2 linked regions of the Ovis aries genome follow. The protein of the gene in region 2 interacts with the protein of the main gene of each other region in a biochemical or structural test. Links are inferred from orthologs where the notes say so. Each region holds a gene or a part of one and is shown on either strand. Other genes may lie near its edges.

Evidence for each region.
Region 1: the proteins of RDX (region 2) and ARHGDIA form a complex in vitro, tested with the Homo sapiens proteins (2 studies listed by BioGRID and IntAct). The link is inferred for Ovis aries from reciprocal best matches to the Homo sapiens genes RDX and ARHGDIA.

Annotation. Positions count from the first base shown.
Region 1 is NC_056064.1:50,518,074-50,526,027, reverse strand, and holds ARHGDIA (rho GDP-dissociation inhibitor 1), read right to left. Parts: upstream 4,521-7,954; 5' UTR 3,777-4,520; intron 3,691-3,776; 5' UTR 3,565-3,690; intron 2,972-3,564; 5' UTR 2,945-2,971; coding exon 2,755-2,944; intron 2,654-2,754; coding exon 2,570-2,653; intron 2,206-2,569; coding exon 2,129-2,205; intron 2,050-2,128; coding exon 1,986-2,049; intron 1,871-1,985; coding exon 1,671-1,870; 3' UTR 518-1,670; downstream 1-517. UniProt on the Homo sapiens protein: Controls Rho proteins homeostasis. Regulates the GDP/GTP exchange reaction of the Rho proteins by inhibiting the dissociation of GDP from them, and the subsequent binding of GTP to them.
Region 2 is NC_056068.1:20,030,338-20,038,310, reverse strand, and holds the start of RDX (radixin), read left to right. Parts: upstream 1-3,276; 5' UTR 3,277-3,461; intron 3,462-7,973. UniProt on the Homo sapiens protein: Probably plays a crucial role in the binding of the barbed end of actin filaments to the plasma membrane.

The sequences.
Region 1 (7,954 bases), on a different chromosome or scaffold from region 2:
CTCCATGCAGCAAGGGTCCCCATCTCCCCCCATCCACCCCACCTCAGCAATCCCACCTTTGGACCTCTGGTCTTCCACGCCACCCTCTCCACTGGCCCTGCTGCCAACTTCTCCACCCTCCCATTCAGCTGAGTTCCTGTTCTGGTTTCCTTGGGACCCAGTCATTCTATTTGTTCCCAAGTCTTCCGCATGGTTCCCCTTTTTTGAGGTTGGAACCATTCCCTCCCAGAGGCTGACAGGGCCCACAAGCGGTGTGCAGGAGTCACCTGGACACTGGATGCCCCACTGGACCCAACTGTCCCCGCCCCCTTTCCCCGGCAGAACCCACCCAGCCAAAAGGACAGCACTAGCCTGGTGGGCTGATGCGTCTGAGTAAGGGCTGTAAACCTTCTCCTTCACCAGCCTCAGACAGTGGTGACTGCGCCTGGCCCCTGGCCCTCCTGCAGTGCCCCGGGGAAGCAGAGCAACAGGGTCCCCATTTCCCCTTCCCCACCAGATGAGCAGCAGACACCCTAGCTCCTTAGGGGGAAGTTTATTTCCCGGTCAGAAAAGGAGAAGCAGGGACAGGCTCCTGTGCATTCTAGGCCCGGGCCTGACCGGGGAGGGTGGGGTCGGGTGGGGTGGGGGCAGAGGGGACGGCTCCAGCGGTGCAAGCTTGGTCCCACGGTTGTCCTGGCTGGGTCCAGGGAGGGCCTGCTGGGGATGGTGGCACCGAGCCCGGGGGCAGAGGGGCAGGCCAGCGGGCCCAGAGGACGGCACATATGGAGGCAATAAATACTGACGGGCCAGGCACACAACTCCAGGCCGGCAGGCCAGGAGGGACAAGTAAGGCTCGGCCACTGGCTTTGTCTGCCGAGGGCTCTCTCTTGGGGCCGTGGGCTCTAGGCACTGCCCACTGGGACAAAGAAGGCAGAGGCGTGAAGACACCGAGCCTCCCAGGTGGGACTGGAGGCCGCTTTTGAGTTTTGGCAATTTGGCTTTTCCCAAGCCCCTGGAGCTGTCCCTGCGGGCCTGGACAGGCCAGGGCAGACTAGGGACCAGCACATCCCAGAAGCCTTCCCGGGCCACGGGGATCACAGACGGGGTAGGGATTGAGGGGGAGACACCACATGCTCATGCAGACACAGGGTTAGAGGTTAGTGACGCCCCCACAGCACACGTTCCACATGTTAAGGCATCATGGTTAGACCGTTACTGACAGTGATGGATGGACTGACCGGGGAGAAGTGAAAGCTTGAGGACAACCGGCCCCACGAGGCCCCACGCGGTACACCCCACCCCTACCAGGAAGGGGGCGACAGGAGTCCAGGTAACATAACAGAGAAGGCCCAGGGGACCTGAGCACCCTGAGCCCCACTGCGATGCCTGACTCCCATGCCAAGGACTCAGGTCGGGTCAGGACAGTGGGGGAATCTTGAGGGATACAGAAGGGGAGGTCGAGGCCTCCCTCCCCACAGCACAGGCGGAAGCAGCAACACTAGACCACCGAGGAGGCTGGGGCCAGCGGGCTGGAAGGGCGGAGGAGGGACAGGCCAGCCAGGAGGCAGCCCAGGGGCAGTGGCGGCAGCGTGGGCGGGCCCTGTCAGCACTTTGGTCTGGGGTCGGGGGGATGGGGTGGTGGGGTGGGGCGCGTCCGTCCTTCCGTCCGCCCGCCCTGCCCGCCTCCCGGCTCAGTCCTTCCACTCCTTCTTGATGGTGAGGTTCCATTCCCAGGACAGGTGGTCAGTCCTGTCGTCGTCTGTGAAGCGGGACTTGATGTTGTAGCTGCCTCGAGCCAGCATGCCCTTGGGCGCCTCCTCCATGGGCGTCAGGAACTCATACTCCTCCGCCCGGGGCCCATAGCTCCCCACCATGTAGTCAGTCTTGTCAACTGTGGGGCACGGGGAGGGCGTCCGTCAGGGAGCTGAGGCGGGCCTTTCCCCGCTCCCTCCCGGCGCCCCTTGAGCCCCCGGTGGCCACCTCCCTCCTGGTGCCCCCGCACTCACTCTTCACGCCTTTCCTGTACGTGTGCTGGATGTACTTCATGCCGGACACAATCTCTCGGTTCACCTGCAAGGAGGCACACAAGCGGGGCTCAGCCAGACTCTCCAGTCCGAGCCCCCAGCATCCCCCCAAGCCTCCTCCTTACCCGGAAGGAGATTTTTATCCGATATTCCACACCCTCCTTCAGCACAAAAGACTGCTTCTTGAAGCTCTCCAGATCACCTGCGTTTGAGAGGAACGCCACACTAGGAGGTTCAGGTAGGGGAAGCCACTCCGGCCCTGGTGGGGTGCCCTGTCTGCCCCTCTACACACACACACCCCCGGCATCCCAGGCCACACCAAACACACACACCCACACACCCACACCCACACACACACCCCTTGACATCCCAGGCCACACCCCAGACACCCACACACACCCCACCCTCCAATCCCAGGCCACACCAAAGCCAGAGCCTTATTAAAATCACTTGGTTGCACTTCCTAGGCTCCCCACAAGAGGGCGCCAGCATCTCAACAAATTATTTTTAGGGGAATTAGCAGGGTGCCAGGCAGCCCCAGCGAGGAACCTGGAGATGCCACTCACCTGTCAGGTCCAGCTCCAGGGGGCCCGGGGCAGTGCTACACACCAGGGTCAGTCGGGTCACCACAACATTGGGGACATTGGGGTCTGCAGAGTGACAGCAAGTTAGAGCTCCGCCAGCAGGGGAAATAGTGGCGGACACCCAGAAAAGCGACAGGTGTCCACACACCCCACCGGGGCCCACTTACCGGCAGACACAGCCACGCGGCCCAGGAGGGCCTCCTTGTATTTGCGCAGACTCTCGTCGTCCTTGTCCAGCTCCTGGATCTCCTGAATGCTCTTCTGGGCCGGGGGCTTATAGTTGACCGAGTGCTCGTCCTCCTCGTTCTCTGCCGCAATCTGTGCCAACTGCTCGGCTGTGGGCTCCTGCTCAGCCATACTCACCTCTAGCTGGATGTGAGACACCTGTGACCAGAGTAGCAGGGGCTGCGGCAGCCTGGAGGGACCCACAGTGTGTCCCCACCTGCCCTTCTGCAGGACCTGCAGGTGGTCTGCACTGGCTCTCTGCAAGTGGCCAAACCCCCAACCTGGGCCCAAGGGGAGGTGCACGTTCTCTAACAGGAAGGCAGTGACAGCCAGAACTTCATAAAAGGCCCAGACACAGGCTCCTGAAGCCCAAAGGGGCCACTCACCTCCTCGCCCTGCCCACCTCACAGGACCTCACCCCAGCATCCAGAGCTAAATGAAAGGAAAGCAGGCACAGCTTCCCTGCTGCCCAGGAAGCAGCAGCACCTGGGTCCAACCAGGAAGCACCAGGACCAAGTGCTGCTTCTTGTTCTGAGCTGCCTAGGCCCTCTCCTCAAGGAAACCCTCTTGCTGGGTTCTCTCTGACCAGCCTGTTCCTTCAAAAACGCCCCAGCTACAAACCAAGGCCTTTGTGCAGGACATGGGTCAGTCATGTCTCCCTCCAGCCCAAACACAGGTCTCCCCTAGAGCTCAGATGACGGGGCTAGCCTAAGTCCCACAGGTAAGTCCTGAAATGGCCTAAAAGACCCTACCTGTCCGACAAACCAATCTCTAATTGTGAGGGTCTGTGACCTAGAATTTGAGAACTGCTGCAGCCATGTGATGGGTAGTCTCAAGATCCTCCTTCCGCCCGGGCCCCAGAAGAGCCCAGAGCAATGCTGTCAAAGCGAGAAGTGATGGGGCAGCCACAGGACTTCCTTCGCTAAGGATGACCGTCGCACCCCGCAGAATCCCTGAGGAGTACCTGAAACCGACTCAGACTAGACCCGGCGGTGTGGGAGGTGGGTCAGGGCCACCGGTTGCCAGTAAAGACAGCCAATGCCGGGACGTGCGTGAGGACCCGATCTTACAAAGGGCCGCTGGGGACCCGGAACCGCCCGGCCGCCACAGGCAGGGTGGGGCCGGCTCGTTCTTTCCAAGCTTCCCTGCAGCTTCCTCTGGAATTCCTCTAGAAGGCTCACGCCTTAACGTCACTCAAGCGCGGCCGCAGGCGACAAAATCATTTAAGTGCGATGGCGAGGCCCGCACTTCCGCAGGGCCTGCAATCTGGGCCAGGCGAGGCCCGGCAAGCAGGGTGGGGCGCAGGGACCTCACCTCCCAGGGGAGGAGGCGTCCCGCCTGGCCCTGGTCCGCGCGCACCAGCAAGCAGGGGGCTGCCGAGTACGAGCAGCGACCACAAAAGAGGTCTGCACAGACCCCGGCTCCCACCCCCGGCACACGCGCCCCCGCCTCCAGATCCCCGCGCCCCCGATCGCACGTGGGCCCGCCCTGCGCCCGGGGCGCCGCCCGCTGTCAATGCCGCCCCCGCCCTGCGCAGATTCCCTCAGCGGGACTGGCGGGCGGGGCGGGAAGCGAGAACAAAGGCGCGGCCCCGGCCTCCTTCCCCGCGGCCGCCTCGCCCGCCGTGCCCACCGCGCTCGCTGGCCTCGCCGCCCGCACTCACCGGAGGATCGTCCGCGCCGCTCTCGCGCTCCCTCCCGCACAGAATGACGAACGTCGCCGCCCCGCCCGCGCGCGCCCTGCCGGCCACTTCCGGGGTCACGCGACTTCCGCTCGCGCCGGGCGGGCCGCGGATAGCGCATGTGCGAGGAGCTGCCGGCAGCGCGCCGCCGCCATCTTGCGGACCGGCCTCGTGGGCGCGTCCGTTTGGGCAGCGCGGCAAAGGAGACTTGTCCGGTTGGGGCTCCTGTGCTCTTTGCCACAGGCTTTTCTTAGTCCCGGGTATCCTCAGGAGTCTGCCGGCAAGCTGAAGGGGTGGGGAAGTGAGATGGTCTCGCTGAGCGCCACGAGAAACCTGAGCGCGGCATGGTATTTCTGCGAGGTGCTGGGACGCGCGTGTGTCACGGGCGCGTCTCCGTCAGCGGGCATCTCTCCCTTCGAGGGCCCGCTGCCATCACGCCGCGGGGACGAGCCGGCACAGCCGATCCCATCAAGTAGCCGAGGTCAGCGAGTGGCAGCTGTCCGGCCTTAGGCTGCCTTCGCGCCCACTCGCCGATGTCCGCCCTCCCGGAAGTTATCGTCGAACGTTCATCCACGGGTGTCCAAATAGCTCTCTCCAGGCCTTTCCCCTTCCAGCCCAAGTCACCATGCGGTCGCCCTTTTGGGAGCTCCTAGCCCAGACGCCACCAGGCGTGGCGACTATCGGACACATGCCCACGCCTTCAACCAGCGAGGATTTTGCAGCGCCAAGCCGGGCCTATGATTTGTAGCCAGGCTGGCGGAGCCTGCGCTGCCAACGCCGGTCTAGCATGCATCTCTTCTTCCTTCGCCTCCTCCTCGCGGAGTGCAAGACCTCAAATGCTTCACACCCGAGTCATCACAAACACACACCCCTGGATTGCACGTGGTGGGGGCGTTTTAGGTCACAGAACCTAATGTGAAATACTGACCTTGGTATCTTTTGGAAATGTCTTAACTTTGGGGGAATATTTGCGAGTTTTCTGTAATGAAGAGTCACATGGTCAGCTTAACATGTAGAAAGTTGAGTTGGCCAAAGGCAGAGCATTCCAATCTTGTATTTATTCCATACACACTTTTGAGGCTTCCTGTTGGCGCACCTGAAAACTGCCCGGCTAGTCCCCGACGCACTCATCCTGCGTCCTGCTACATTGCCCAATCGCTGACTGAGCAAAAGTTTGTTTTTCGATAACCCAAGTGCTTTTTGAAAACTATCTAACTCTGTTATATTAGTCACCTATTGCTGTGTAAAAACATAACCCTGGAATTTAGCAGCTTGAAACGACCAACATACACTGTCCTTACCGAGGATCAGGGAGAGCTCCGCTCGGTGGTTCTGGCTCGTCTAGTGAGGTTGTGGTTGAACTGTGAGCCAGGGACCTGGTTTCAGGATCTGCAAGCATTCCAAGCTTATGCACGTGCTGTGGGCAGGAGGCTCTGATCCTCACAGGCTGTTGGCTGGAGGATTTAGTTCCCTGCTGCCCACAGCTTCTGGCTTCTCTGTAAGGCAGCTGGCTTTCGCGGAGTGAGGCCTCAGAAAGAGAATCCGAGCCAGGGAAACAGCAAGTGCGCAAAACAAAGCCACAGTGCCCCTCACAACCTAGTATCAGAGGTGCCGTTGCTTCTGCTCTTCTGCTGGGCATGTGGAGCTTCCCCAGTACAGTGCTGGAGGGGAGCATGGGAACATGAGGACAAGGAGATGAGCTGGGCCATTCAGCCATCTTGGAGGTGGCCCACCACATGGATGGAGGCAGAAAGAATGGGAATATGAAGCCCAGAGTATCTGCCATCAGCGTCTACAGGTGCCCTCCAGCTTGTCTCCAACCCTGTGCCATGTGTGCCCTCATCTCCTTACCACGTGGAATAAGTTTGAAGCAAACCTCAAATGTTACCTCTACCATAAATAGTTCTACACACAATATTCTAAGTAAAAAGTTCCTTTGGGAGTTAATAACAGCGGTACCATCATCCCATGTATGTAACAAATTACTCCAGAACTTCCTTGGTGGTCCAGTGGTTAAGATTCTACAGGGGGAACAGGTTCAATTCCTGGTCAGGGAACTAAGATCCCATATGCTGCTTGAGGTGATAAAATGAAAACAACAACAAAAAGATGACCGCGTTGCATGGCGCTCAGCCCGGGCTATTGACACAAGGACTTTCCCACAAGGCTCCTGTGGAATTTTGGCCACTGGGACTTCAAAAACAAATGTTCCAAGAAACCTGTTTTCTGTGCCTGAAGGAAGGGCAGGGCCCAGCAGTAAGAGTAGGTGAGAATCAGGAATAGAGATATATGAAACAGTAGCCAATATTCAGTTCACAAATCACTCAGTTTATTACATACAATTACAAAGGAGGGACAAAGGGGTAATGAACCACTCCAGGGAGAAGCTTGAAATGGAGCTTGAAATGGAGGCCTGTCAGCAAGAGCAGCGTCTTTGGTCCCGGGGCCATAGGTCTCAAGGCAAACATGAATGGGAAGTTGCCTTCTGCTCCAGCAGGGCCTCTGGCAGTGTCCAAAATAGTTGGAACAGCTCTCAACAGTGTGGAGTAGGTTCCTCCAGGGAAGAGTTTTCAGTCACTGGGCATAGTGGTCTCTTACGGAGCAGCAGTTAACCCTAGGGGGAGGGGTCTTGACTCCTTGACTCTTAACAGTTGTTCTTTTTCTTCAAGTGACATACATCATCCTTCAAGCTTCTTATCTAAAGTAATACTCTTAGTTTATCACTTAAGATACTCACAGTGCTACAGCAGACATTTCAAAACAACTAACATGGAAGTTCACATTGGCCAGTGTGACTCCATTTTTAACGTATCTTCACATAGCTTAAATCCCACGAGTTTCATACAAGGTGAGTAGGAATCATAACAGAACAGATTAGATCCCACTTCTCAATGGGAAGACAAGCAAAGCATGATGTGTGGCCGCCTACCATGCACTGCCTCCCAGGACCCCTCAAAGTCTCATCCCATCATGGTTTCTAGTCAGGACTCGTGAAGATGAATCTGGGGGTGTGGCTTTTCTCAATCTGAAAATGGGGGCTGAAGACCCAGAAGACCTGCTTTGTGGCAGGAGGCAAACATATCATCTCACTCCCTGACCATCAGAATTGTGATCATAATAAAATGTGTGTTTCACACCAAGTTTTGTAGTAATTTATAGAGCAGTAAGTACCTGGAATACTAATCAAGAAAATTAACAAATTCTGTTTTTTTTAAATTATCTGTATTTAGTTTCGCTTGCACGGGGTCTTCATTGCTGCTTGTGGGCTTTCTCTGGTGGCAGGCAGGGGCTCCTCTTGGTTGTGATGCATGGGCCTCTCCCTGCGGCGCCTTCTCTTGTTAGGGAGCACAGGCTGTAGGTGCAGTCTGCAGTACTTGGATCATGCAGGGTTTAGTTTCTCCCTAGCATGTGGGATCTTCCTGCACCAGGGATTGATCCCATGTACCCTGCATTGGCAGGGG
Region 2 (7,973 bases):
TGTGAGTCTGAGTGAACTCCGGGAGTTGGTGATGGACAGGGAGGCCTGGCGTGCTGCGATTCATAGGGTCGCAAAGAGTCCCACATGACTGAGCGACTGAATTGAACTGAACTGAACTGATAGAGCTTCTATATCTTCAGCTGCAAAGAATATAATCAATCTGATTTCAATATTGTCCATCTGGTGATATCCATGTGTAGAGTTGTTTTCCATGTTGTTGGAAGAGGGTGTTTGCTATGACCAGTGAGTTCTATTGGCAAATCTCTGTTAGCATTTGACCGGCTTCATTTTGTACTCCAAGGTGAAACTTGCCTGTTACTCCAGATATCTCTTGATTTCCTACTTTTGCATTCCAGTCCCCTTTGATGAAAAGTGTATCTTTTCTTGCGTTAGTTTTAGAAGGTCTTGTAGGTCTTTATAGAACATTTCAAATTCAGCTTTTCGGCATTAGGTTGGGGCATATACTTGGATTATTGTCATATTGCATGGTTTGCCTTGGAAATGAACAGAGATTATTCTGTTGTTTTTGAGATTGAGCCCAAGTACTGCATTTCGGACTCTTTGTTGACTATGAGGGCCACTGCATTAGCTTTTCCTTTCTTTTTTATATATATACTATGTGCAATACAGGAAAGTTTTTCTTACAACTATTGATAATATTAGGGTTTTTTCTTTTTAAAGTAGTTTTTCACAAGTGTGAGTTTTCTTTTTAACACTTAAAATCTGCACTGTTGTTATTAAACTGAGAAAGAAAATTTTCAATTAAGCCTTAAAAAAAAATTTTTTTTTTCACTGCAAAAGTAGTACAGAATATAATGAAGACTAGAATAAGGGGCAGGGGGTAACGGATGCCCGTAGAAACACTATCCTGAGACAACTCTGTGTTTCAATTTTTCTTTTTGTCTAACACCTCATAGGTGTCTTTTTTTTTTTTTTTTTAAGAAAAACATAGATGTGATCATACTGCATGATTAGTTTCACAACTTGTAGCGGTATTTTTTTTTTTTTTTACCACTTAATGCTATATATTTTAAGTTTTTACCTAAAATGCTACCAAATATTTATAGCTATCTTCAAGACATTTAATTTCCACAATATTTATTTTTGCATCTTGTAAATTGTGACATACAGTTTATGAATAAAACTTTTGCTCTATTACAGATTATTTCATTCAGCAAGAATCCCAGATATGAGATTATGGGTTACAAGGGTATGAACATTTTTATAGGTTGAATCACAGTGCCAAATTTTTCTAAACAGGTTGTTTCTGTTTACACTCCACTCACAATGTCTCTCAGCACCTTTTTAATCTCACCAGCACTGAATATTATCCTTCATTTAAATAGTTACTAACATGATAGCTGACTGAAGTGTTACAGTTTCTCCTCTGTTTGCTGTTGAAGAGTATAGGATAAAATCAAGGCTTTGGAATCAAATGATACTGGGTTGGTCAGATTGCACAACTTCCTAGCTGTGTTACAGTAAGCAAATTACTTAACTCCTTTGAGGCTCTATTTACGGGTTTTTAAAAACGTCAATAACATTTACCTCAAACTCAGGGTTGTTATAATTATTTTAAAAAGCCAGTCTTACAAAGCATTTCATACCAGTGCCTGTCATGTGACACATGATAATGAATGCTTCATTTTCTGTCACAAAAGTATGTTTGATTAGTGTACTATCTAGGAATTTACACAATAGTTTGACTATCTTTATGCATGCAGCTTGTTGTAGAAGTCTGAAAAATCACCGGGATAATTGTTCCACCCCAGGGAGAAGGTCAGGGAGTAATCCTATAGTTAAAGAAAAGCACACACCTGGTTCCCATCTTCGAGGACTCTGCACTCTAAAGGCCTTAGAATTAACTTGAGACTTTTAATTGTTCCAAGTGGTCTCAAAGGGCAATGGTGGAAACACGCTTAAGAGTAAATTTAATGAAAGTGATCAGAGGAGAGTTTCCGGAAAAAGCCATAGTCTCAGGGAAGACAAACAGAAAAGCAAGAAGGATACCGATTATTTGCTCTAAAAAAGTTGAGTACACTGGGTGAGGTTGTATTTGAATGGGTTTCCCTGGTGGCTCAGACCCTTAAGAATCTGCCTGCAATGCAGGAGACCTTGGTTCCATCCTGAGATCAGGAATATCCCCTGGAGAAGGGAATTGTTACCCTCCAGTATTCTTGCCTGGAAAATTCCATGGACAGAGGAGCCCGGCGGGCTACAGTCCATGGGGTCGCAAAGAGTTGGACACGACTGAGCAAATTTTTCATTTTCAAACTTTGTTAATAAAAAGTAAACTATATAAAGCAGGTCAAACTAGGCTACTCTGATTTTGTGCACTTGCTATTTCCATACGTAGAGCAAGTTTTGCTCTTTGAATCCCAGAAAATACAAGAGGAATGGGAGTAGATGACAGAACAATGACCGTAAGTCTGTCTAGCCCCGACCACTACTAAAACGAGTGGGCTAGTCAGACCATGATCAAATGCCTAACTTCACAAAGTCAAAGATAATTTAGGTTTGGCTGCTCTTTGCGGTGTCCCACTTCCATCAATTTTCTTTTACTGACTTCTTCCTTGCCCGGATAAAAATTTGCACTCTCGATTGGGATTTTGGTGGGGCCTAAAAATTGTCCCTGAAAAAGTAAGTTTACTGGTTGGGTAAACACTGCCAAAATAAAGTTCTTCATTGTCTATATAAATCCCTCTAAGGCAGGCCTTTTTTTCTCTCCCGATCCAGGGTTTTCAAGCTTTCAAGAGCCAAGTAACGCGCTCCACTCGGTCGTTGATTCCCTGGGAAAGAATGCCTTGTTGGGGGCGATGGAAACGCCCTCTGAATTTTCTGGCACCAGCGGGAGTTTCAAGTTTCCACCGGTCGCGGGGAGGCGGCAGGCCCACTCCCAGCTCTGGGTTTGGGCGGTTCCGCTTCCCGGGCCATCGGGCTTCACTCTAGCCCAGTCCCCCTCACGGAAGGAGCGGCCCACCCCCGCGCTCGGCCCCGTTCCCTAGGGACTCCGGAGCCGCGCCCGGGTCCTCGCGCGTCCCCGCCCCGGACGGAGACCCTCCCTGCCCGCGGGCGACGCCCGGGCCGGCGAGTGGCCGCGAGCCCGAGGGGCTGGGCGGGGCCGGGCCGGGGCGGGGCGCGGGCGGCGGGGTGGCGGCCGCCGCAGCGGCGTTGGCGCTCGGGCCGCGGCGCGAGGCCGGCCGGCCGGCAGGGGGAGGCGGGGGGCGCGGGGCGCGGGGCAGCCCCGCCTCTCCCCCGAGGAGCCGCCGGGCAGCCATATTGCGGAGCTGTCTGCGGTGGCGGCGGTACCTCTACTCTCCGGCGTCCCGGCGCTCGCTCCACCGCCGCCTCTCTCTCTCTCTCTCTCTCTCTCTCTCTCCCCTTGCCGCAGCCGCGACGCCCGCCGCCGCCGCGCAGCGCCCGGCCACTCTCGCGGCGGGAAGCAGCCGCCCGCTCCTGAGGTAAGCCGCCGGCGCGCTCCCTTCCCCCACGGCCGCTCCCGGGCTCCGCCGGAGCCGCTGAGGTGGCGGCGAGAAGTCGCGGCGCCCGGTGCTGCCCGCTGGCCTCGCCGCCAGGGCCGCGGCGCCGCTTGTCCTAACGGTCCGGCAGGCCAGGCCGCTCCTGCGGTCGCGGACGCCGCGAGGCTTGGCCGGCGTCTCGGCCGCGGCCTGAACACGCCGCGGCGAGCTGCTGCCCCCCGGGCGCGGGTCCGCCCTCCGCGTCGGCCCCGGGCTCGGTCGGGCTCCCGCCGCTCGGGCGCCGCCCCGGGCTCGGCCTGGCTCGTCCCTTCTAGGCAGTCTTGAGAATGCAGATTTAAGCGTAGAAAAAAATGACATAATTATTATCATTTTTTGCTGTGGTAGGAAAGGAATTTATTACCATTTCTCCCTGGTCTCCGATTTGAAAGCAAAGGTGTTGAATTACTAGAGAGCGTGAGTTCCGCCGTGGCGGCAAAGGGAGGTTGCGTGACGGGGCTCGGGGCGCGAGCGGCCCCCGCACCCGCGCGGCGGCCCTGGCGGCTCCGGCCCCGGCCCTACCTGCTGCTGCTGAAGTTGCGGGCGCCCCCCGAGCCCCGTAACTTTCTCGGATTTTGGATCTTAGACCGCAGTAGACAAGTTGAGTACATTACAGCCCCCTCTTCCTTTAAAGGGTTGTAAACGTAATTCTCAGGCTAACTTTGAAAGGGGCGGGGGTGGGGTGGGGTGGAACACTATATTATTTTAGTTTAAATAGAGCGCATCACATCCTATACAGATGTAGCATGGTTCTTTATTCACACCATGTATTGAGCGTTTTTTTCTTTTTTTAAAATACCATTAAGGACTGGTTATTAACGAGGCTGGAAATGTGTTGAAAGTCAGCTTCATCAACGATATGTTTTAAAATCTATCTACTTGAGATTTTTGTCGAAATGTTAATGAGTTCTGTGGCAATAGACAAGCATGATGTAAATGTAAATACCTAAGATAGTAAGCATTTGTTTGATAAACGAGCGCTCGAAAATAGGCATTGCAATCTATTGTTTACTGAGCATACATTTTTTTTAGAGCACTAAATACTCTTTTATATTTCGGATGGAGCTCTGAATGAACAATTGCCCCGTTCATTTGCTGGATAAATAATGGCTTAATCCGTTTACCATAACAGCATTATTAGAATTAAGAAGCGAGGCTAATATTCAGGGTTGCATTTACATTTTTTTTAGTACTACCTTATTTTCACGTGTGCTTTATCTTCCAAAGACTAATAATTACCGCAAATGTGGTAAAAACGTAAAAGATTTCTTTTGAAGTTAGTGGATTATAATTCATCTGTAAAATGAATTGCACTTTGTTTCTTTTGTTTAATTACTTTTGTAAAGTGCATAATGGTATTTAATAAACAATGTTTTTTTAGTGAGAGATGAATAGATACTCATTGAAATGCTTTACAGTATATTTAAATGAAACAAAATTTGTGGCATTTAGGAATGTTGAATTCTTGCCCTTGTGGATTATACATCGTTTTGTTCACTCCTGTGTTCCCAAGCATGGCAGAGCGTAGGAGAGGCTCAGAACTGAAATTAATTTCAGCATGGGGAAAATATGTTTAGTCTGTCCTTTGTTTTGGACATTTGCATTAACTGGAAATTAAATTGATATGTTTTTCCTGTGGTGGTGACAAATGACAGACTGCTATTCTTTCTCTCTTTTGCTAACACTCAGTAGTATCAGAGAACAAGGATTATTTCTTGATTTTTTGCTTCTCTATTCCCAGGAGCAGAATTGGCTTTTATTATCCATTTTTATCTTTGGCAGGCGGTTGAAATGAAAGTCTGTATGCATTTTATCTTAATTTCAGATCTGAATCTTCTAATATAATCTAATGTAATTTTCTAGTACAGTAGAGTCTGAAATCTTCAGTTAGGATGGGAGTCAACTTTTTTCATTTATTTTTAACTTAATTCAACTTAACATACATCATTTCAAAATGACAAATTTTAATCGATATTTCCCAAAGACCAAAGCCTAAAACAAAGTGTCCTGTTAAGACTGTGAGGATAGTCATGTTGGGGAACATACTTGATAGGGAATAGTTAATATAATACTATGGTATTGGTGTCGATCTAGGAAGTCAAGAAAGTCACCCTTTCTTGGATGGCTTGGACATCCTGCAGCCCAGTAGCTCTTCTCAGGACCCTGATAACTACCCTTGGCTTACTGGAGTCAGTGGAACTGGATTGGACTGCTGTAGATTACACTCTTACAAGGTGATTTTAAACCTCACCGTGTCAGAAGCCCTTTAGGGGAACTTCCCTAACTTCTGCCTCAAGTATATGTTCAGTTGAGTGGTAGGTGGCTCGTCTGACCCCAGAGATTTCCTCAGTTTCTAGCCTCTTTCAGAGGAATCCTGCTTTACTGTTTATATTAGTTCTTGGTATATTTTTCAATATTCATTTACATTGCATATATTTTAAACCACTTTAAATGACTGTAAAATTAATAAATTTTATGACAAACTTAAAAAAATCAGAAAGATGTTAAAAGTTCTCCCCAACTTCCCAGAACACCCCCCAGTCTTGTTTTTCAGAGGTAATTGCTATTAGCCATTCCTCCTATGTAGAAAATGGCAATATTTATGGAAGGGTAAATATATACTTTATATATATATCCCTTATTTGCAATTTTAAAGTCTTTAAAAGTAAGGTTATTTTGTAACAAACAGTGAAAGGATGTTTGTTTATTACTGTGTTTAGTATTCAGTACTTAATATTTCTTGGATTTTTCATCATTTAAAGTCAAAATGGAATTTCCTATAAGAAGTGTTTACGTACCTGTGTAAATTTTTTTCATGATTGAAGGTGAATTCACTTTTTGTTTTCTTCCTAGGGAATGGTATATAACTGACACTGGAAAATATCCTTTAAAAAAGGGTTTATGATTTTGGATAGTGAAATGTCCCTATGATAGATGTAGCTTTTTGCCTGGAAACTGTTTGGAAAGAAAGTATGGTTCATATGATTCACTTCTTTATTTCTTCGTTCTTTTTGATAGCGAATCCAGTCTTTCACTTCTTAGAGGGTTTTTTTCAGGTTAGCATTTGTATAGGTTTTTTTTTTTTTTTTTTACTATTACTCATTTTTGAGTACATTGGGCCTTAGTTGGTGTCTTTGTGCTGCATGAGGGATCTCTCCTTGCTGAGCGCGGGCCTAGTTGAAGTGCATGGGCTCCAGAGCGATTGGGCTCTGTAGTTGTGACCTGTGGGCCTAGTTGGCCCTGTGGCATGTGGGATCCTAGTTCCTCCTCCTTCTTTGGAAGGTGGACTCTTAACTGCTGGACTACCAGGGAAGTCCCTGTATAGGTGTGTTTTTTTGTGTTTGTTTTTTTGAATAGTCAATATTTATAGAAGTTCTTGCAAATTCATAGAATTTTAACTTTTTTTAGCAGAATTCTAAAGTACATTTTATAGAAGCTAGTTATATATGTCAATAAGGTCATTGGACTTTTCTTTTACATCAGGTGCTCTAATATAAATAGGATGCTCTAGAAACATTGGTTGCTTTTCTGCATAATTTACATATATTTGAAATAAAAAACTTTTAGCTCTAGTAAAGTTGATTTATTGGAAAATGACATTATCTTTACTGTTAACTGGAGAAGAGATCAGCAAGCTAATTTGTAGACCAAATTCAGCCCACTACCTGTTTTTGTAAATAAAGTTTTATTTCAACACATGATAACTCATTGGTTTGCCTGTTGTCTATGGTTGCTACTGTGCTACCACAGAGAGTAGTTGCAAAAGGTTTTGTGGGCCACAAAACCTAAAAGGTTTACTTAATCTGGCCCTTTGCAGAGAAGTTGGCTGACTCCTGCTTTAAGGTATCATTCATACATTTGAACGTTTATAATCATATGCCAGATATTCTTTGCATTTGTTAAGTAAGATAATGAGACCATCACACTTTAATGGGAATATACTTGTGCCATTTTATATGCCATGACATGTATTTAAATGCTGTTTGTGTATATAAACTGTAATTCATATACAGTGTAACAGCATTGTAAGCATAGTTTTTTGTGATGTGAATTTTTGTTTTGTACTAAAAAAAAAAAAAAGAAAAAAACTTCTTGTGTTTCTGCGGATTAGCTGATAACCTTTTGATAACCAGAGTAATTTTTTGTAATCAGAAATCCGGGTAGTACTCAGAATGATGTGGGCACGAGTGTAATAGAGGGACTGTTAAAAGGGAGAATGGGGACATAGGAGATCTCAGCCCTGGTTAATTGAATCCAGTCATGCCTTGGCTTTTATTGAAAGTGTGGGATGGGCTAAACTTTCATTAGCCATCCTTAGCAGTCTTGATATTTAAGCTGTTTCTAGATTCTAGACTGAAGGAAACTATAAAATTTTAGTTTGGTTATTAAGCAAAGTTGGCACTCCAAATCTGTGCATTCTCCCAACCTTGATTGAAAATATTCCGTGGGGGTGGGGGA